Drosophila melanogaster: one gene and its partners. Changing the gene in region 2 together with the main gene of any one other region gives a genetic interaction. Each region holds a gene or a part of one and is shown on either strand. Other genes may lie near its edges.

The links.
Region 1: of hh (region 2) and brm, changing one suppresses a phenotype caused by changing the other (phenotypic suppression), as found in Drosophila melanogaster (2 studies listed by BioGRID).
Region 3: of hh (region 2) and ci, changing one suppresses a phenotype caused by changing the other (phenotypic suppression), as found in Drosophila melanogaster (3 studies listed by BioGRID).
Region 4: of hh (region 2) and fu, changing one suppresses a phenotype caused by changing the other (phenotypic suppression), as found in Drosophila melanogaster (3 studies listed by BioGRID).

The regions. Positions count from the first base shown.
Region 1 is NT_037436.4:15,979,119-15,984,592, forward strand, and holds the start of brm (brahma), read right to left. Parts: upstream 3,752-5,474; 5' UTR 3,685-3,751; exon of another isoform or gene 3,451-3,684; 5' UTR 3,391-3,450; coding exon 3,150-3,390; intron 3,094-3,149; coding exon of another isoform or gene 3,082-3,093; coding exon 3,005-3,081; intron 2,771-3,004; exon of another isoform or gene 2,350-2,770; coding exon of another isoform or gene 2,067-2,349; intron 1,836-2,066; coding exon of another isoform or gene 1,252-1,835; exon of another isoform or gene 982-1,251; intron 887-981; exon of another isoform or gene 621-886; coding exon of another isoform or gene 350-620; intron 290-349; coding exon of another isoform or gene 186-289; intron 1-185. Other genes in the region: CG17028 (uncharacterized protein), read left to right, coding at 186-289, 350-620; CG17027 (uncharacterized protein), read left to right, coding at 1,252-1,835, 2,067-2,349; Arl1 (ADP ribosylation factor-like 1), read left to right, coding at 4,159-4,162, 4,260-4,476, 4,745-5,066; PolD1 (DNA polymerase delta subunit 1), read right to left, coding at 5,268-5,474. UniProt on the Drosophila melanogaster protein: Transcriptional regulator. Acts as a coactivator, assisting one or more dedicated transcriptional activators of ANTC and BXC homeotic gene clusters. Can counteract the repressive effect of Polycomb protein.
Region 2 is NT_033777.3:23,138,628-23,144,363, forward strand, and holds the start of hh (hedgehog), read right to left. Parts: upstream 3,280-5,736; 5' UTR 2,895-3,279; coding exon 2,415-2,894; intron 1-2,414.
Region 3 is NC_004353.4:52,849-58,290, forward strand, and holds the start of ci (cubitus interruptus), read right to left. Parts: upstream 3,484-5,442; 5' UTR 3,021-3,483; coding exon 2,983-3,020; intron 1-2,982. UniProt on the Drosophila melanogaster protein: Has a dual function as a transcriptional activator and a repressor of the hedgehog (Hh) pathway. The full-length ci form (ciFL), acts as an activator (ciA) while ciR, its C-terminally truncated form, acts as a repressor. Involved in segment polarity.
Region 4 is NC_004354.4:18,655,804-18,662,085, reverse strand, and holds fu (fused), read right to left. Parts: upstream 4,332-6,282; 5' UTR 4,247-4,331; coding exon 4,136-4,246; intron 4,064-4,135; coding exon 2,694-4,063; intron 2,635-2,693; coding exon 2,060-2,634; intron 1,992-2,059; coding exon 1,630-1,991; 3' UTR 1,598-1,629; coding exon of another isoform or gene 1,418-1,597; 3' UTR 882-1,417; downstream 1-881. Other genes in the region: CG6696 (uncharacterized protein), read left to right, coding at 1-121, 184-357, 411-847, 1,418-1,597; CG6659 (uncharacterized protein), read left to right, coding at 4,943-4,988, 5,111-5,372, 5,441-5,762, 5,816-6,282. UniProt on the Drosophila melanogaster protein: Probable serine/threonine-protein kinase; maternally required for correct patterning in the posterior part of each embryonic metamere. May be involved in control of cell division during metamorphosis and ovarian development. May interact with costal-2.

The DNA of each region.
Region 1 (5,474 bases), on a different chromosome or scaffold from region 2:
CTATACTTTAAAGGTCTTAAGTAATTTAGCTAAAATATCACTTGAAAAAATGAAACTCAGTTTAAAAGTTGGTTTCTTTCTAAGACTTTAAAATCACATATAACCCAATATATTTTTTCTAGTACTTTATCTGCTACGAAGTTCGCAAGCGTAAGTGACACAAGCATTTTCGGTAACATTTGCAGATAAACCAAGCATTGGTGTGCTATGAGATCTCCCTAATCGTGGTGTCTAAGGGGCGGGACAAGAACGTGAAGCGTCTCTACAAGCTGGCCTCGAGTGCCACTGGGTGAGTGACCCAGAGAACTCTGATCTATTCCCCATCATCTACACTGCATTCCGCTATCAGCACCCGCAGCTTTGGATGCGCAGCTCTCACGCTCTGCTATATAGCCGCCGGCAGATGTGACGCCTATCATGTGGAGAATCTAAAGCCCTGGGATCTGGCTGGCGGTGCGGTAATCCTCAGGGAAGCCGGTGGCAGGGTATATCACACAAGCGGTGCAAGATTCGATGTGATGAAACCCGACTGTGTGTGCACCAGCTCTGAAGAATTGGCCAAAAGTGTAATCCAATTGATAGAAGGAGCCGACCAAATTAGCGGCTATACTTTTAAATAAATCATAAAGCTTAATATATATTCATGAAGTCTAAACAACTATATTCAATAGATTGGAAATGATGGATGTATGAAACAATACGAATATGTTTAATGATAAGCATAAAAGCAAAGTTTAAAGATTATAAGACAAGTGATTGATCTTTATAATACAGTTACGATCAATTTTAACATAATATCTGCAAGGTTTCTCTGAGTATTATGACTTGCAGCTCGAGTGTGTAAATCATCCAATAATAAAGTCTGAGAGCGTCGAAAAATGCTGATAAAAACGGGTTTTACAACTATTTGACTGGCTGTCTGTGTGGAGATAAAAAAGAGTATGTCTATTTGTGTACATCAAACCAATTGAGATAAAACAGAGGCACGCAGCCAGGTGAGCTGCCAATTTTTAGTACACCCCTATGGGGCGATGTCGCAGCGATCATAAAAACGCGAGGCAGGCAAACAATCATAGAACGAGTGAATTGTAACCGAACCGCAAGCACTTCTCCAGCGCCAGCGCCAGCTAGACAAAATCAGCCGGAGCGTGGAGCTTCTCCCAGTGGGGTGCAATCTCTCCGATTAGTTGACATCGCGAGCTGAGCAGCGACGGATCGTTTTTTGCCCAAAGGAATACGCATAGAAGCAAGATGGCAGGAGTAAGTCAAGCTGATATCGAGGAGTTGTACAACTTTATCCATCCCCTGGCCATCAAAGCGGGCGAGATCCTCATGGAGGGCTACGAGATGGCCAGTAAAAACGTCTCAATCAAAGGCGATTTCTACGACGTGGTCACCGACTACGACAACAAGATTGAGGACTTTCTCATGGAGAAAATATTGGCCAGATACCCGGATCACAAGTTCATCGGCGAGGAGGAGACGGCTAAGAACAACAACGTGTCCGGAGAGCTGACGAATGCTCCCACCTGGATCATAGATCCCATCGATGGAACTTCGAACTTTATCAAGCAGATTCCACACGTTTGCGTTTCAATCGGTTTGGCAATCAACAAACAAATCGTAGTGGGAGTAATCAACAATCCTGTCCAGAAAAAGCTCTTCACAACGAAACTGGGCCAAGGCGCCTTTTGCAATGGCAAACCAATCCACGTGAGCAGCTGCGAGAGCGTTAAGGATGCCAATGTGGCCTACGAAGTGTCCCTGCTGCATGTCCATTCGGTGGCCAACAAGCATATCAAAAGGATCTACCATGTGGGATTGAATGCTAGACGGTAAGTAAATCATTTATAAATTTGAATCTATTTCGCAAAACTAAATCCCGTTGATATAGTGGGTAAAAATCTGTGAAATTAACAAAACAAAAGTATCTGAGTACTAAGCAATTAACCAGTCACTGCTAAATGAAAAGCTTTAATTGCCTTTTGTTCTCGAAGATAATTAAAAAGATTTTAAAGCTTTTTAAAAAGAAATTACCCCTTACAAAATATTGCATAAATCCACAGACTTGTTGCCTACTCCTGTGTGGTGGATGAGCTGTGCATGGTGGCCGCTGGCAATCTGGATGCCTTCTACATTGAGGACATGTATCCCTGGGATTGTGCCGCCGGCTCCCTGTTGGTTAAGGAGGCGGGAGGCGTGGTAACACATCCCTTTGGCGGACCATTCGACATAATGAAGCCGGATCTAATCTGCGCCGGCACAGAGAAGTTGCGCAAGGAGATCGAAGACCTTCTGCGTAAGGGAGACCAGGAGGAGTCCGTGGGAGGGAAGCCGGTGCAGAAGTAATTTAGGCAAGGCAACAACGATCTTAATTGAAAAGCTTGGGGTCAGCTGCACTGCCAATTGGCGCTCGAAGCTCTGCTAATGGGGAGCTTTCGGATATATTCCAGCTTTAATCGCCGGCAGCTGTTCCACGATACACGTCAAAAAGGCGGGAAAGCCCGTCAATCTTGAGACTTTGAAAAACAACACCGTATGATACCATAATTTTAAGCATTTAGCTGGCAAACAACTTAATATACAGATTACCTACTTGGAAATTTAGTATTTCTATACTTATTCACAAAGTTTCACGAATTTCGTATTGTTTATACCTTTTTCATATAGCATCCCTCAGAAAAATGTTAGTCTAACATGGAATTTAGATATTTATGTACCCATATCTGTATATAGAGTAAAGTAAATAAAGAAATTTAAAGAAATCCTTAATCTACCGTTTAGAATACTATGTAGATTTTATAGGATCTTTTACAAACGTATTAAGTATTTTAAAAACTTGCTAATTACTGATTATAAAAATTTTGAAAGTATCGATGGAAATATTTTCAATGTTTGCACTGAGCTACTGTTTGTCCAGATGGCATAGATTTGATTTGAGAACTGAGACATCTAAGTAGGCTTACTATTTTGATTCCTACGGCTAGACTTGGGGGTCACTTACATTGGGTGGCATTCCGTGGGTTTGGTAGGGGGACATGTTCGGTCCCGTCGGCGGCATCTGCATTCCCATGTGCGGACCTTTTGAGAAAACTACGGATAATTACGTGTGACTGGAGCGATTGGTGTTGGGTTGTTTAAGAACATACTCATCCCCTGGTGGTGCGGTGGCATATGATGCCCGGGTGGACCCTGGCCGGGTGGTCCGTGCTGCATGGGATGTCCGTAGGCACCGGGATGTCCGGGTGGCGGAGGTCCTTGCAGTGGACCCGGCTGCTGGTGCGGATACGGGCTGTGCGGCGAGGGGGCGGGACTCTGCGAGGGCGGGGCCATCGGACTGGGCGCCTGTGGCGGTGGCATGGGACTGTTCGCCGGAGAGGGCGAGGCCATATTGCAGCTCCTTTCTTGACTTTATCCAATAGCGATATCCAGCAACTGGTGCAGCCTAATCTGCAGATGGAACACACGTCAATGCACTGTATTTACCAACATTAAAGAAGCTATAGCCACGATATGTAATCGTAGCTACCGTTTTGTGTGCCTCTTTTGGCACACTTTTTCGCGCAGCCCGGTGCAAACCCAAAATAACGGCTAAAGATACGCCAAATCGGCCGAAATCAACTGCACGCTAATCGCACGCGAAGAACGCAATCGGATTGCTCCATTTGGCACCGAAAGTATTACCTATTAGCACTGTTTTCAGAAGGTTTTCTTCTCTTTTCACAACGCGACGCGACGGCAAAACTCTAATGGCGGCCGTCTCTATAACAAAAGTCACGCAAGGGTGGCAACTCTGTGAACCGGCAATAAAGGTGGGCGCGTTCAGCACAAGTCACTGTGAATATTTTTATAATTAATCTGTATGCACTCCTTAAAATGGTATTTATTTAAATTTAATTAATGATATTAAACGTTTTTTTAAAGTTATTAAAATGTTATTTTTTACAAAAATATATTCGTGCTGAACGCACGCTGTGACACGTCATGTTCGCGTGACCTGCGAATGGCAAAAACGAAACCATTCTCCAGCCCAAAAAAAAGTGAAAACAAGACTTCTGCGATTTTGTATTAATTGTAGCACCACATACAATTAACTAGGTTTACTAAACTTAAGCATTTAGAGGCAGCGCCAGCACTAGACAAAGTTCAGCCGTAATCATGGGTTTGTACAGCACGGAGCATGGACGTGGGGAACCTCCCCGTTCCGGCGACACCCGGTGACGAAGTCTGGTCATAAAAATCATACGTTCTTCTTCCAGGTGGGGTGCTCAGCTACTTTCGCGGACTGCTCGGCTCCCGGGAGATGCGCATCTTGATCCTGGGCCTGGACGGCGCCGGCAAGACCACGATCCTCTACAGACTGCAGGTGGGCGAGGTGGTCACCACGATACCCACCATCGGCTTCAACGTGGAGCAGGTCACCTACAAGAACCTCAAGTTCCAGGTCTGGGATTTGGGCGGACAGACAAGTATTAGGTGAGTTGGTTACACGAGAGCAGTATTGTGATGGCATTACCCAAGTCTTATTTAATATCTAGAAGACATATTTTCGGTTGTAGTTTAGTAAGCCTTTTGGGTTTCCAAAAAGCCATTATAATTGTAGCTGATAAGATAGGAAACATCTGCATCCACAACTTAACTTAAAATAGCTAATAGTTCTTTCTTTAGGCAGGCTACGTACATATATCTATTTGGCCTTTAAGAATGGTAATCCTAATCTCAATTCGTGCTATTTCCATTATAGACCTTATTGGCGTTGCTACTACAGCAACACGGACGCAATCATCTATGTGGTGGACTCGGCGGACCGGGACCGCATTGGCATCTCCAAGGACGAGCTGCTGTACATGCTGCGTGAGGAGGAGCTGGCCGGCGCGATACTGGTCGTCCTGGCGAACAAGCAGGACATGGACGGATGCATGACCGTCGCCGAGGTCCATCATGCGTTAGGACTGGAGAACCTAAAGAACCGCACATTTCAAATATTCAAAACGTCGGCCACCAAGGGCGAGGGACTCGACCAGGCCATGGACTGGCTGTCCAACACCCTGCAGAGTCGCAAGTAGATACTTAGCCAGTCCTCAGACCCCCAGATCCCTGTGTAAAAAATGTGTGTCCAAAGCATCGCCAGCTAGGGAACGTCAACAGCTTTTTTCAAATTGCAGATTGCGCAAAAAATCCACGAACCGAAAGAAACTTTGTAATAACTTCTAGTAATATAATTATTAAATTATAGGATTAAACAATTCATTAAACTCATGCAATGGTTACCACTCGGCCAGGCCGAATCGCAACACCCGCTTCTCCTGATTGTCCAGATCCATGCGAACCTTCTGTCGCATGTAGAAGATGGGACAATCTCTGTTGGAGCAGATGACCTCCTCGTGCAAGGATTCCTGGCATCGCTGGCACTCGGTCCATAGGCGAGAGAAGGTCTCCTCCAGTTCCCTCTTCGCACCCACCTCCTTCTGATA
Region 2 (5,736 bases):
ACAACAGGATTTTTATGCTCGCCGAGTGTCCTTGGCCGTTTAGTCAATCGCCCGAAGGACCTTGGCCTTCGGTGTGTCACTGCGTTTGTGCTGCCGTGCGAGCAACTGTTAATTGTTCGCCAGTTTCTGGAAAGGCTGCGATACCTTTTGATTGCATATCAAATTCAAGGTAACATCTGAAATGGCTGCAACCATTTAGAATCCCCCGATGGGCGCGTGGCAGTTGCCAAATGCAATTTGGAATTGGTTTTCAAGTGAAACTCTAGCAGGCGAACAACTGGTTCGATAATACGATTTAACTTTACAGTACAGTAAAATCTGATTTTTAAAGATCTAAGTCGTTTTTGCGAAACACTAACCACTGACTAATAAATCAACAAATCGAAAGTCATTGTAACACTTGTGTGGGCGATACTAAACCCTTTAAATCAACTATATTAGTCGGTTGGCAGGCGTAATCTGTCTTCCCACAATTCTGATTATTAGTTTGTTGTTCAATAGCACCAAATCGTCCAAGGAAACTGGAAGTCCGCCATAAAAGCCCAATAGCTCGTTTATGGCGCTAATCAATAACAAGGCTATTTTTACACATCGACACTTAAAATTTCATTAAAGTAACACGAAGATAAGCTGGTGGGAAGCGTGCCGATTATATATATCAGCAACTTCAATGTCGGCCCTCTTAGGGGGTCTTGACTGTGCTAAGCCGACTTCTGGCCGCAACGCAACCACCCCACTAACTGCTGGCTAATTGGAAATGTTGTCGCATGGTGCTTGAATTGAACACTTGTTTTAGCTGTTTCGCACTTTGAAACTCAACCACCGCTCCCCCACCAACTGGGTGGTCATCCCACCGCCACCCACTCCACTTTCACTACCCCCGCCCCTTTTTTTTTATGGCGATAAGATACTGCTGTTCTTCGCCTTAGCTGGTATCTTAGCACACATTTTGTTCTGGCACCGATATAGCGCAACTAGCAACGTATAACGTATAACGTATAACTTGCACCTAAACTAATTTTCACATTTTATTTCACACATAAAAACCATCATATACCTCTTTTAGCATAAACCATAAAGTGGCAAGCATATAGTATTATGCCAAGCGAACCCAATTTCTTTCAGTGCCAGCATGTAGCTACACATGTTGGCAAATATAGGGTGACTATCTGGGGGGATAGTAACCGTGTATTGGCAAACGAACTACTTGGCTGCAGTCCGCTTATCAGACAATCGCCGGTGATAAGCGGCAAATGCTCGCGTGCCTCCACTTTTGGGGCGCGGACAGGGTGGGCGGTGGGCGGTGGGCGGTGGTTTTGGCTGAGTAAAACCTGATAAATACCGGGACTTGTAATCTCCCGCATTCGATACCCTGTTTGTTGTTCAGCGCGAAATCGAAAACGCATTTGCGAAGCGTACACACAATGTTGAGTAAACTATGTATTTGCAATGATGACCCGGGGATCGATTGGGCTCGAGGTTGTTGAACGCGTTCGCTCGGTTTGTTTGGATTTCGGGACGCTTTGCAGCTTTATGGCTTAGTTCGATGGAATTCAGGCGCTATCTACCGTTCAGCCGTCGAGTATCGGGCTTCCTGTTTTTTTGCACTTGCGAAACAAGTGCAGTGCGGCGATAAGATGCATAATTAATCATATAAATGGCCAATGCTCAAAACTAATACTATATTTCAGCCCAGTTTTATGGCAGCCATCGCCACCATAAAGTTGGTGAAATAGCCAATGCTCGATCAATGATTGGGCACTTTTCCGCCACGTAGCGTTTATCAATGGGAACCGAGTGGCACAATCTCGTGCCATCGGGCGATCGCTAGATACGGGCTATAAAACAGCGCGAGCGATAAGCGATCGCTAATTTGACAATTGAATTTACGGACCACGACGGGTGGCAAAATGTGAGTGCAGTGCGCAATAAGCACGGAATTAGCCTAGCCGCAAATCGGAACCCAGCTGTCTGATATAGAAGACGAATTCGGAACAATATCAGCAATAAAATCTCATCTAAATGGTGTGTTTGACCTCCATACCTCAGATTTAACAGGCATTTCATTGTGTTCCTATATCAAAGTAGGCTTACTTTTATCACAAAATAATACCTAGACCAAATATTAAGTGTACTATTAAAGCATTACAAGTTCCGTTTGGTAGAGTTATCTCACATTTTTTCCTAGAATTAGTCATTTATTTGGCGTAAGACTGGGTTTTCACTTCATTTGTGTTGCTAACAATACTAAATGTTAAGTAATTTCTGATTAATCGTGATTAATAAGTCAATATTTCGGTTTTTACAAATAATTTTTAAGTCACTTTGTCACAATGATTCCGATAAGCGAAACTTTCCCAATGATGTATTACAAATTTTGTTACTAGCTTACGGTGTTTGAGGGTTTTCCTTACCTTGCTCATCAAGCGATCCGCTCCGGTGCCTTCCTCGTCGCGGAAAAGGATGTCCCTGTTGTAGTTGGGCACGAGGTCCTTGAATTTGGGCGAGTCCCGACGGATCACACCCTCCAGAGGTCCGGAGGCGCTGTTCGTGTACTCGGATAGATTGGGAATTGTCTGCTTGAGGACCAGCGGATACAGGTTGCGCGCCCTATGACGACCCAATCCTCGGCCAGGACCGCAGCTGTGAGCCGGGCTAAAGACCATCGGCAAGACGATCAGCAGCAGGGCCACCAGAGAGGTCAGCCTGCTGAGGCAACGCTGCGTATGCGCAATGTGGCGCATCGTTTGCGTTTCTTCTTGCGGGATTGCGGAGATGGAGCTCGCTGCGGATTTGGAGCTGGAACTGGAACTGGAACTGTGGCATTTGGCATCCAGGGAGAGACAGGTGACACTGGCGGCACTGGCCCAAGGCACTGAGCTGTGGTTATCCATGATTTATCTAAGACTCGTTGTTTGCTGTTTCTCTTGATTGGATTTTGTATCTCCTTTAATTTTTTTTATTTATTTTTTTGGTTATTTAGCACTTCACTTTTGGCACACAGACACGCTTATTTGGCGACACGTTTGTTATTCAGATTTATGGTATTATTTGGATTTAAACTGGCTAAATCGAAATACTTGAGTCGGCGAAATCGCAGGTCCTAACTGACTTAACTACGGTCTTAACTGTTCTCCGCTGAACTGGCAGTTAGCTCTCGGTTCGGACAACCGTTGCGCTCGCACTGTGATTGACAAATGACATTTCCGAGCGGAGTATCGTGCGCGCAGAGTGTTCGAGTGCGAGTACGAGTACGGCAGCGAATACGAATGCGAGTATAAGTACGAGTACGACGAGGGTGCTTTCAAGAACCCTAGGCCTTTTAGCTCACACAAACACACACGCACACACACACTATCGCCTCGAGTTCATTCCGCGTTGTGATTGTATGCGTATGCCACTCGACGTTCGATCGGCTGTGGTGTTCATTTTTATGCTGCCTTATGCGCAAGGGAAGTGGAAGCGGGACAACCAGATGATGCAGCATACTCACAAGACTGGTTTGCATGTGTTAGTGCCTGAGTCTTCGGCTCTTATGTACAAGCAATGTTGGCAACAGATGTTGGATGGCATTGGCATAGTGTGCTGCGGTCCATTATGGCCATGGATGAAAGTGTGTGCCTGTTGCCAATTGGATGTGTGATAGTGTGCGTTGCTGGCGCAGAAGAGCTGCAGCATCCTCGACTGCAACTGCAATTTCTCTTAACACTTGCACTACTCGGACTCGACTCGACTCGAGTCTTGTGGCTTGTTAGCCGCTTCTGGCCCTGCAACTCCTCCATCGCAGGCCATTGTTCACTTTTTTCCGTTGCCTTTCTTCGTTTTGTTGTTCGTTTCGCTTTATTGCTTGTAAATTAATAATGTTCCGGTTTTTTGTGTATTGTGTGACTCCTGGGCAGCCTTATATATATACATACATATATATGTATATTGTATATGGTATGATATGTGGAGTACATATGGGTTCAATGCTGCTTCCGTTTGCCAGTCTTCAAGGAACGGAAAAAGTGCTTAAAACTAAAGTACTTTATGATCATCGAAGGCTCCGAGCTTATGTCACCCAGTGAGTCATTCATATGCCCCTCAGGTAGTGGTCATGTTCCGATTAGATATCGCCTTAGGACCTACAAATTACTGGTCAATTTAACAATTTCCTTCTCCGCCAGAGGTTCCGTTCAACGCCATGTCAATAATCGCAAATATGTCTATATATATTGCAAAAACCGATAACGATTTTGGCAAATACAATTTGCAATTAGGTACCTTATATTTATGCACAGCAAATAACTAAGTTGCGGATTGATGCCGCACTCTGGAAATCAATAAATTTCCAGTTTTATCTCTGTTGACTTTGGCTAATATAAAATTCCCCACAACTGGGAAATCTCCAATTTAACTTTTTAGCTTTTTCGCACTTTCAGAACTTGGATCTGTGGCAAGCGCTAATCTTTTGTTTTGGCTCTTTTTCCAGACCTTATTTATTTTTTTGCGGTTGCACCAGGTCTATTTGCACTGTCACTTGGCAAGCGCGAATTGTGGAATACGCCCGTCAATGTGTGCCCAAGAAATTGTCACTTTCCAACGGGGTAGAACCAAGGGCCAAGGTGCACCTGCTCATGTAACGGATTCCATGGGGGGGCATAGCATTTTTTTTTTTTTTGGTAACGCTCTGGAATGCAAGGCATAGCATAATAATTTCGACAAAAAACGAAATGAATCGAAGAAAAAAAATAAAACGAATCGAAAGAGGAGAAATACAATAGCTGGTCGTGGCGGCAAAAGATATAAGAGAAGGCAAAACGCCATCAACAAGATACACGGAACCAAATTAAAGATGAAGAAGCTGAAATGGAAGGGGGTATGGAATATACGAGTCTTGGATGCTGGGCCATCGGGCATTCGAGTGTGTGTGCGAGAGTCTATGTGGCTGCCACATAAATTTCTGCCTTCTTTGTGTGCGCACCGAACTCATTACGTTCGTCGCTGTGTGTATCTGTGTGAGTTTCGAATGTGTCTTTGGGCCTCCGCATCTGTATCTGTATCTGTATCTGTGGGGCGGAGCTGCTTAAGGCGCTCATTTGTGAATGAACACACAACACACCGTGAACAAGCCAGATACAGATGCGAAGACCATCCCGGGCCCATGGGCAAACAACAATCGCTCCAGCACTTAATGAGCATGAATAAATGGCATCGCAGACCGTGGAGCAAGCGAGACGGCCAGCGGTCCTCATAATCACGATCATATAGATCGCGCTCTTAGCCGAAACGGCTCACAAAAAATACAGAAAAGAGTTAAAACAAAAAAAAAAGAACACTAAATAAATAAACTAACAAAAAATGCCTTTCCAGGCCCTTCGAGATAAAAAGCCGCAGATTAGTTTCTGTAATTAGATTTGGTCCAGCTTTGATTTATGTGAATATTAATGGGACAACAGCTATAAGTCGAAATTGAATTTTAATGGCAACCTGTAATGCTGCACGGTGAAAAATGTAAAAAAGCAGTTCTTAATGTCAAAACATTAAAAAAAAAAATGAATACAATTACCATTCTTCGAAATTTGATGTTGAGAAACTATATGATCAACGAAAAGATGTGACACTTGAATTACTCATCTACCAAGTTAAGATTAATATTTTTGCCGTGTGCTAGATCCTCCAAATAGACATACCGGAAATATTCAGACCATTCGCTGGCCAACTAGAATGCTCGAGAGCCCAGCAAGCAGCTCCTTT
Region 3 (5,442 bases), on a different chromosome or scaffold from region 2:
AAAAATTTAAAAATTGTTTAAAAGTGTAGGCGTGACGGGTTTGGCGGCTTTAGGGCGTTGCACTGGTCATGTAAAAAATTTGTTTGGCAATCGACAGAAATTCTACGACCAAAATTGCTCTCTTTCCGCTCGCTCACGCTGAGAGCGTAAGAAATCTAAAAATAGAATTTGCTTGCTTGTGTGAGTAAAAACAAGAGACGAGAACGCGTATATGTGTGCGTGTTGTGCTAGAAGACTATTTTCGGGCCGAAATCAATTCTGATCGAAAAAACGAATTTACATTGTACATATTAGGGTAGTTTTTGCCAATTTCCTAGAAATATGATGAAATTAAATAATTTTTTTAAAATTCGCGCTTAATTAAAGCTTTTAAAATTTGTTTGTTAAAATCGCCGATCGAATTAGCTACCGTTTACACATATATATTTATGTTTAATTCTAATTTGTCTCTCATCTGACAATTTTTTAAAAGCGAAATATTTTTTTTTGAAACACTTTTAATGTTAAATGACTTAATAAATATAGTAAATAATTAAAGGAAGTACAATAGAAATTATTATAACTACTGGAATTTCATAAATTCCATAAGAATATGATAACTGTTTATTGCAAAAGTCTAGAATTATTCTAGTGTCTTTGCTTTGGTCATATCTTGAGGCACGAAGTGCGGACACAAGCACTCAACAATCATTGCCTAATTAATTTTTACACGCCGCAAGACGAATACTCTAATGACAAATATTCTAAATATATAAAGTCATTTTTAAATTTATTTTTGTGATAATATGTACATAGATTTGGCTCTTTCTAATCTATTTTCATATAATAATAACGTTAAGGCAATGCAAAACAAGAATTTTTCACATGGTGCCAATTGATCAAAAATAATATAGATTTAAAGTCAAAGAACTTCTAAGGTGAAGGGCATATTTTGTCAAATTTACAATGCATGAGCATACGTGTGCACACATACAGTTGTCTGCTATCACTTTATGCGATGAAAAGAGCTGTTCGCTGTAGCACTCTCTGCTCTCTCGCTCTCTAACAAAAATTCGAGAGAGCCTGGAGCCACCTCTAGAGCCACGGCGAAAAAATCGTGTGCCAAAAAATTGTATGGCGTTACGCATCTTGTTATTCTAGTGTCTTTGGTAGAAGGTTCAGATTAAGCATACCCATCCATACAAACCGATGTTTCCACGCCTACTTTAACGAACACAAACCGACCAAACTGCCAAGCCCACACTTTTGCAAAATGTTTTGATTTTATTTAATTTGATGTCAATGTTTATGGTAAGCCAAAAACACTTCGGCCCCTCCTAACAATTACAAAACACCCAAAATGCTAACGCCCATACTTCAGTAATTTTTTTTATTTTTCTCATTTTTTTCCCCAATATCTATCGATATGCCAGAAAAATTATGAAATTTTGGACTCTCCATTTCACTAGCTGAGTAACGGGTTTGTGATATTCGGGAAAATTGACTATAACAGTCTCTCTTGTTTTTCATGAAGTCTTGCAAATTTCTATCGATTCGCTAAAAAGTTTTTGTATCGCTCTAACGCCCTCAAACCGGCAAGCATAAGCAAAGACATTAGATACATGATTATAAGAAACCCCGCTATTATAATCCGATTCATTTGATATATAAAAAAATTCTTGATTATTAATCTCAGACATACAGATTCAAGTAACTTCTCGATCAACCAACAATAAAGTTAGAGTCTAATTTTTTTAAGTATTTTAATGTATTTACTATTTATTATTATATAATTTTTATGTAAACGCCAACATAATTTTCTTTTGGCTAGCTTCGATGTTAACATAGCAATATCTTTGAATGCAGCGTTTTAAATTCAAAATTAGATTACGACTTCTATCGATATTTAAAAATTATTTTTTCCACGCTCGCTCTTAACCGCAGAAACGGGCACGTCCGCAATTTCAAAAAGAGAGAATGCTATAGTCGAGTTTCCCGACTATCAGATACCCGTTACTCAGCTAGTGTGAATGCGAAATTGCACAATTTTTCTGGGATATCGATAGATAAAAGATAAAATGAGAAAAAAAATTAAAATATGTTGTCGGCAAATCGATATAAACTTAAATTTATAATAAATAATAAACTAATAAATTTATGAAAAAAATTCCCAACAATTTTTTACAAATGTGGGTGTCGGAGTTTTGGGCGGTTTTAGGGCGTTGGCAAAAAGTTTTTTTTTAGAAATCGATAGAAATGTAAAAGACTAATCAGAATGTGAAAAGAACAACACATTTTTCAAAAGTGTGGGCGTGATAGTTTTGCGCTGTTTGTGGACGTTAGAGTGGGCATGGCTACTTGCGTCTTTGTCTCTGTATGCTGAATCTAAACCTTCTAGCTTTTATAGTTCCTGAGATCTCGACGTTCATACGGACAGACGGATATGGCAAGATCGACTCGGCTATTGATCCTGATCAAGAATATACATGTATGTATATACTATATATGGTCTAAGACGCTTCCTTCTGCCTGTTACATTCATTTCAACGAATCTAGTAACGGGTATAAAAATGTTTATTATTTATTGATTAATCATAAAAATTATAATAATAGTAATTATAATAATAATAAACATTTTTATACCCGTTAATCGTTATTATTATTATTCTTTTTTATTGTTACCATAGTTATTATAATTATTAAAATTATTATTATTATTTTTATTATTATTATTATTGTTATTATAATAATAATAACAATAATTATATAATATATATATAATTATATGTAATTATATATAATTATTATAATAATAATAACAATAATTATTGTTATTTTTTATTTTTTTAATTATTTAATTATTATTATTTAATTGTTATTATTTAACTTACACATTTCTAAACATTTCATGGACTGTAATCTTAAAATTCCTCGTTTTAAACAAAAATGTAGATATTTTTCTATTGTAAGGCTTACTTCTCGAATATGCAAATAAAAACTTACGCAAGAGGAAAATATGTAGGTAACGCGTAGGCGTCCATTTCATTAAAGTTAGTCCACAACAAGAATGACGTCGTTTTATAAATTCAATTATCCTTTTAAATAATATTAACCGTCGGCGTAAACATTTTCAAAAGATTGGTATTTCAAATAACGGCACGCATAAATTTCCACTTTTGATCGGCAACTTAAACAATTTTAAGGAAACTCTTTGATTAAAAAGTTGGTTTTAAATTTTAATATTTAATATTCATATCACTTAAATATTATAATGGTGTGAGCTTATGCGCTCGGCTTCCTAAGTAATGAAGGGTATCGCCAAATCTCACACGTATATTCATAAGATTATCAGTCCCGAAGTAATATATTTATCACTAAATATTAAGTAGCGAACAATGAAAATCAGTTTTGTAAGACAAGTCAATATTTTTTGAATGCTGCGTCTTATTCCTATGTTTCTTACGAGTGGACTGAGCGACATTAACACTAGCTGTTGCAATGCTTCGTTAGTTTAGATGGAGCAGTTCGGATCTCCTCTCACACATGCCATTGTCCAAACACAGATACTTGTACAGATTCTACATAGATACGTGTAGGTTCACAAACATAAATACAATACAGTAACAAGTGCATTGGTGATTTAAATGTCTGTGTGTACCTACGGATCACGAACAGTCGGCGAAGGCGGGCAGATCGAAGATGGCCACACAATACATATACTCGTACGTGAGTTAAGATACTTTTCGATGCCAGTGCTGTTAATATAGATATTTTTACGCTAGTAGTTTGTGTCTCTCAGTGGGTAATTTTTGTCCTCGGCGATACAATATTATTTTTAAGCAAAAAACGCAAAAGTTATTGGCAACGCCTATCTCTATATACATATACACACATACATATATATATATATATAGATTAATCTTACAGTAGCTTGTACACCCGATTCAATCTTGATTTTGGCTATCTCGTTGATATTTGTACCCATTATACCCAGTATATCCAGTATATTAAAATACAAACATGTATTTGTAGTCGTATTTATCTATTATAGCCTTGCCCTTGCGAATAGCATTCTTGATGAAAACATACATAACTGTTTTCTATCCTATCAAGACTGGTTTGGTGTAATATTTGCGACACAGTATTTTTGCACTCAGTGTACTTAATGCATCGAATTTTTACCCCTATCTTATGGGTATATTGGGTATACTAGTTTCATTAAATAGTATATGATGTTAATAAGGTAGTAGACTCGGTAATCTAACAATCCAACAATTAAAATGTTTCCAACCCCTTGGGTATGTGGTTATAGCAATGTTGATGCTTAAATAAATGTTACTTCTGGCAGCGCTTAAATACTTGTTTATAAATTTTGAAAATTAATATTTCGATTGCAACACTTCGCCCCTTAGTTCTGTATTGGTCAATTCAACAACACTGTCTTGAACCAAATTGGATTTATAATTTCCGACACGATATTACGTACGGGCATAACTAGATTGATTCGGCTAGGGTCAATCAATTTCTTTTATCTGATATACGGCTTTAACCTAGACGACATTTTGCGGTCTAAAGACGATCTAGGTGAGTATAACGACAATGTTTTAAACAAAGCAATATAACAAAGTTTATAAATTCATGTCAATCAATGTTCTACTTTAATGATGGAAACGCGTCTATTTCCGAACTGCATTAGTAATTTTGGCTGTGTTTATTGAAAAAGGTATTTAATAGTAAAGACACACTACTTAAAGAAAAATACAATTTCGGAGACTTGTTTGTTCATAACGCGTGTAATTAAAAAAAAAAGCGACTTGAACTATTAAATATAATTGTGCCTAGTACAAGATAGCTTTGGCAAGCCACAGTTTTGATAAAGCTACATAATTAGTCGTCAAATTTAGTAAAATTTATCGAATAAAGTGGAGAGCATAATTATTTTCATTATGCCATTAATATTCAGTGAATATGGCTGTCCAAGAATATTCATATGTACTTTTTGGTGGCATCTGTCTTTTAACCCCGTCTTTAAAGGTGATTTTAACTAGTTAAGTTTTATATTAATGGGTAGGTGATGAAGTTATACTGATAATTTTTGGTGTTTTTGAAGAAATAAACTGATAATATATTTAATCTCAAAAAGAGGTATTTTGCAAACCTCCAAGGGTTTTGTAATTTGTGATCGTTCGAAGTGGGTATGACTTTTTTTTGGTACATCACTTTTAAAAGTCACTTTTAAAAGGGTGTGACAGTCTTCGGCAGTTTGTGGCCGTTATATACTTTGCATCGTATGTATATATGTACATATATTTTATACCGAACAAATATTTGTTATGACAAAATTTTTTGTATAAATACCATAGTATATTTTATATTATGTTACTATACTTTAATGCCTTCTCGCCCGTGTACTCGTAGTGGTTATAATATAAAATAAAAGATTCAAAAAGTTTGTATACCCAG
Region 4 (6,282 bases), on a different chromosome or scaffold from region 2:
CTGTCCGCCACCTTGGAGGCGAGTACCCCGGCCACGCGAAAGGCGCTTCTTCGCGCACGACCCGCGGTGCCGCCCGCTGCCAGGTGGGGCGCCAATATGCAGATGCTGCGCCGGCACAACAGTAGGTACCCAACATCATATCAGACGCTAGTAGTCGATGCACTCAACCATTGGCACTTGCAGGTCCTGCCTTCAACTTCTGGACGGAGGACAGCGATACGAACATATGGGAGCATTGCGGCCTCTTCGAGGGCGACATCATGCTGCACCGCGAGCTGCTGAGGAACGGGCTGCTGAACGAGCGGCTCACCTGGCCAGAGGCCGCCGTGCCCTTCTACATAGACCCGCAAGACTTCAGTGAGTTAAGGCCTGCAAGCAGTCCAAAGTAGTAAAACACCCTTTCCAAACAGACGCCAACCAGACCATGGTCATACTGAAGGCCTTCAAGGAGTACCACGACCGCACCTGCATACGTTTCCGGCCGTACGAACAGGGCGACAAGCACTGGCTGCTCATCAAGGGCAACTACTCCGGCTGCTGGTCGAGCGTCGGCCGGCGTTCGGGTGGCCAGGTGCTCAACCTGAACACACCCAAGTGCGTCACACACGGCGTGGTGGTGCACGAGCTGCTGCACGCGCTCGGCTTCTACCACCAGCAGAGCGCCACGGAGCGGGATGAGTACGTCAAGATCAACTGGGAGAACATCCTCGACGGGCACGCGCACAACTTCAACAAGTACGCCCGCACCCACATCACCAACTTCGGGGTGGAGTACGACTACCAGAGCGTCATGCACTACAGCTCGCGGGCCTTCAGCAAGAACGGGAAAGCCACCATAGAGCCATTGGTGAGTAGGCCAACCCAAATGGTTACCAGTTATTCATGTAATTGAGTATTATTTTAAATCGCTTACACTGTAAAGGAGTTCAGTTTAACATTCAATAGTAATACTGCGAATTAATGGACTATTGTATGGACATACAGTAAATTCGCTTATCTTAACAATTACTACACCTAAATGTTATATTTCGATATACAAACTATAATGCTATCAATCTATTTTGCACAAACCACACTTGAATATGTGCATTCAAAAACACCTATCAATTAACTTAGATTCCATTAGGAATGCCAAAAACCGTGGCTCATAAAATATTTAAATTCGATAGTGATAGTGATTTGATCATATTCAGATTAGGAATTCCTATATTAACACATGGTCCAATGACGTGCAACTATGCTAGGAATAGACGAAGCATTTTGCTTCCTTGTCCAGTTGGAACTATATCAAATGAGAATTCTTTAGCTGAATGGTTGACTACACCTTAGCAGTTTTAGTTGAAGCGATGAGATGTTTGTAATGACTTGGGGGAGCTTGCATCGTCTACACTCTCTGACTCCTGTCCTTTGCTTCCAGGATCCGTACGCCTCGCTGGGCCAGAGACGCGGCCTCTCCGACAAGGATGTGTCCAAGCTAAACGAGATGTACGAACAGGACTGCAGCGAGGACTACCTGCTCAACTTCGACCGCTTCGGGAACTACATCGACGAACTGCTCGACTACTTCCAGGGCAACATTCAGGATCTGCTCGGATAAAAACGCCTGAGGCCAATAAAAGAAAGTGCCGGCTAGGTGACGAAAAAAGTGAAGTGACTGATCTCGTCGAGGGTCTGGGCGGCCTCCCCACGGAGTGCCGGGTACGAGTGGTGCTCAGAGAGTTGTTGCAGCGCAAATCGCAGCTCTCCATTCCATATGCGCTGCACGCCGCGCAGGCTGAAGCGGGCCAGCAGGCGCAGCAGCTGACAGGAACGTTGCCGCAACAGGTGGTGTCGGCTCTGCAGGAGCGAGACGAAGTTTAGCCGCGGATTAAAGACAATCCGTTCTACAAGCTCCGCGTTTTCGGGCAGCTCGCGCAGCACACAGCCCATCAGGGCCAACATGCACCCAGCCAGGCGAACAGAGGCGGCGTCTGAATCCGATTGCCTGAAGTCTACGGGAGAACGGGAACGGGCTAACAGTTTACAGGAGTCAGCTCATACCATCTAAGGGTAATCTTACCGTGCGTGAGGAAGTTGAGGAACAGATCGCTTGCTGCCAGAATGGCAACCGCATCGCAGAACTGCGTTAGGAACTGCTGCTGCAGGTGTACCAAGTGGCAGACCAGTTCGTACAGACTGCAAGCCGTCTCCAGCTCCTCGACAGTTAGCTCCGGAATGCTACGCAACGTTCGACTGAGCGAACCCGTGGTGAGTGGGGCGGAGGCAGCCGAGTCCGAGAGTTGTTTGTGCGACAGGAGCAGCTTGCAGGCGTACATGAGATTGGGCACCAGTTTTACGTCCACGTACACGTTGCGGATGAGCTCGAGGTCAACAATCAAAACAGGATCCACCAGCACAAAGGGCAACGACAGCAACTGGGCCACACTCTTGAGTACCCGTGGAATGGCCTTGGAGTTGCGCAGCGGTGCCACAATAATGCTCACCAGGTTGTGCTGTTTCAATGAGTCCAGTTCGCCGTCAAGCAGCTCCTGCACCGATCTGTTCAAGAAGGCTAGCCACTCATCGTTCTCGATGGGCGGACTTTGGGATTCATCGCAGCTATCCCACCCCGGGAGCAGGCACGGCGGAGTGTTGCTGTTATTGAAAGGGGAAAGTTAGTAAAAGAAATTCTATGAGGCGCAGTGGCCACTTACTCGCTGCTCAGCTTTTCCTCATTGGTGGAATGCATTGAGTGTTTAAGTTGTTGTGGCTGTTGCTGCGGGGGCTGAGAATTTGCGTAGGAAATTGCTTCAGCGGGAGGCTTGTTTTCCTGGTTATGCTTTTCCTGTGTAGCAATCTCCGTGGCCTTGCGTTGCGCCTCATGGTCGACGCTGTGACCCAAGCGAACAGAGAAGTTATCCAGATTCTGACTAAGCTTACGCTTCTCTAGATCCTTGCTGCGCGACTGGCGTACGGTTGGAGCGACTATTGGCTTAGCGGCCACGCCTCCGCCCCGCAAGGAAGCCTGAAAGTCGAAGTTGTCGTTCATATGATTGAGGATCATATTGGAGTTGCCACTGACGAAGCAAGTGTGCGAGTTGATCACCGGCTGGTGTACCATCGGCATTGCCCGAACACCAGACAGATCCCTGTAGGACAAGTCCGCGAAGGGAACGACCACACGTTGCATATTGTCCTCCACATCGGTCTCAAGATGCTCAACATCGCTGGGAGCAATGGCGTTTATGCTGTCGCGGGAGGTGGTCAAGTTTTCCTGTCGCGACTCGCCAAAGTCCAAAGCGGCCAGGGCCTCGTCCAGATCGCCTACCTCCGGATCGGACTGTTTTGACGACTTAACCTTGGCTTCGGGATTTGTGAAAGGCGATTCCTTGGCCGCCTCCGCCTGCGTTTCTGCGATAAAGATGCGTCCCTCAACGAAGGGGTGACACAACAGCTGCGTCCAGGATATGCGCAGACCGGGGTCCTTCTCAAGCAGGCCCTGTAGGAAGGAGCGGCACTCGCTAGTCAGCGTGCTCGGCCACTTGACGTCCTCGTGCTTGATCATCTTCACCAGATGCAGGATGGAGCTGGCACAGAAGGGCGGCTGACCGGCCATGCTTTCGTAGGCTATGCAGCCCAGTGACCACATGTCCGCATGATGGTCGTACGGCTGCTCCGCCAGCAGCTCCGGGGCCATGTAGAGGGGCGTTCCCTTGATCGAGGTGAGCACGTGGGTACCCAGGGTCATGTTGCGGGCCAGTCCAAAGTCGCAGAGTTTCGCGTGCATGTTCTTGTCGAGCAGCACGTTTTGCGGTTTGAGATCCCGGTGGAGGATGCGGTTTGAATGCAGGTAGTACAGAGCGGACACCAGATGCCCGGTCACCCGACGTGCCGGCTCCTCGCCCATGGCTCCATTGTAGGACAGGTAGCGGTGCAGGTCCATCAGCGCGAACTCAGTGACCACGAAAAGGTCCGTCTTCGACTCGAAGGACTCGATCATCTCGATGACGTGCGGATGCTTCAGCCGGGCCTGAATGTCGCACTCCCTGCGCAAATTCTTCAGCTCTTTCGTGGCTCTTCCGCGCTGCAGAACATGAATATGGTGTGAACTAGTTGTATGGACTTGTTGCTTTATCACCTGGCCCGCCCCACTCACCTTGGAGATCACTTTGATGGCCACCACCTTGCTGTCGTCCTTGCGTGTCGCCTTGTATACGCACCCGAAGGATCCTTGCCCCACCATCGAGCTTACCGCGTAGCGGTTCATGGTTATTCTTTGTTTTGCTGCGGATTGGGATGTGATTACCACTGAAGTGCGTGCGGTATGACCGTAGCAGGTTGACTCCGAGGTGGGAACTCGGCTTCGGTACGTAGGTATATGAAAATACTAGATTGCTCATACAGGGTTCCTTTTCTGATAAATGACGCTTTTGCTGGACAGCAATTGTACCTAAAAATCTATATAGACCAGATCATGATACAATCCAAGACAAATACAAGACTAGTTTGCGCTTTTATCTGTGGCAGTAGGTATTAGTATTATCTGCGAATAAACATTTATTAAGTGATAAAAGTTGGAACGAACTTTAACTTATATATTATTATATATTATAAATATTTATATGTATATATTTCTTAATGTACAAATTTTTACTTAATAAGTGCAATAAATGATATGCAATATAAATAATTAAAAATTCCAAAAGTGCAGTAGATAATATAACTAATTATAGGTATGTACCTATATATCGTAATGTACCTAAAATTCAGTGTGACCAAACCAACACAAATGACCCTTTTGACAGCAACTCGGTACGGTCACCCTAGACAAGCACGGCCGAAGAACAGCTGATTGCTGGCTGGTTTTTATTGTGCGGAGCCAGGAATAATCGTTGTGAAATAAATAATGATTGCCAATTTGAACACAGCCACCCAGTGAGACGACACCCACAATCGCAGCACGATGCGCGAGCCCAACCTGTACGTGATCCTGTCGCACGCGCTGATCGGTGAGTTTCCGCCAACCGGCAGACACTTCTGCCACGCCTCTTCCGCTTCCAGGCGGCAGTCTAATTGAGTTGGGGATTCCCACTGCCATTGACCACACTCCCAATTCCAATCCGCATCCCAGGCTGCGGCTTCTTCTTCCTATACGTGCAGCATGTGCGCGTGATCTTCGAGACGCGCACCAACATCCAGCAGCTCAATCAGCTGGAGCGGGAGGCGCTTCTGCGGCGCGAGGATGCCCTGTACTATGCCTTCTACAAGCAGCTGGCCGAAGGGCCGGACTTTTGGCACGGCTACGAGCAGCTGAAGAACGTCACGGACATCGAGTATCCGCACAGTGTCAATGTGCTGCAGCGATTCTACGTGCTGCCGGAGCTGGTCACGGCGTAAGTGACTGCCAGAGGAGTGATGCCCAAAAAGTCCACTAATGCAGATGCACTTTCGCTCCCCAAAGGTACTTCTTTCACGTAGTGCGCTCCGGCTTCAATCCAATGGTGCAACCGATGCAGTTCTATCTGGAGTTCGTGTGGCTGATGGGCGGGGTAACCCTGCTGGTACTCTACCTGTACGGAACGCTGCTCAGCGAGAACATTTTCGGTGGCATATACGGCGTAATCTCGTACCTGATGTTCCACAGCTTCGTGGCCAAGATCTATGAGCGGCCGCTGGCGCGGGAGAACTTCGCCTTTCCGTTCATTTTCCTGCAGATGTTTTATCTGTGTATCTGCATCGGAAGGATCATACACCGACAGCGGCACACATCTCGCATGTTCATGGTAATAGGTGTGCTTTATTGCATTAAGCTCAGTAACATCTTTGCCCTTCGAAGATCTTCGCCATGTCGCTTTTCACCGCCTGCGCCCTACTCTCCTGGCAGTTCTCCACCTTCATCTTCACCACCCAGATCCTGATCATGATGACGTCCTGGAACGCGAGCGCGCTGCCCACGGCTCTGGTCAACGCCTTCGTGCTGGACTACTCGCTGTCGCACCTGCTGGGCCACGCTCTCGCCTTTGTAATGTCGCACGGCAACAGCCAGCTGCTTCTCACCTGGCAGCTGAGCATCTCGCTGTTCCTATTTTTGATTACAATGGTGCGACAGTTGCGTCACGTGCGCAGCCGGCGACTGGGACACGCGCAGGATCTGCTGAACGGCGACTTATTCTCGTTGAAGTTCCTCATGCTCACACTGCTGCTCGCCAGCAGCGTGCAGACCACGCTGATAGAGCTCTTCAATCGGGCTGGCGTGGTCAGTGTGACGGAAGGCGACCAGCAGCACTTCTTCGACATATGTGC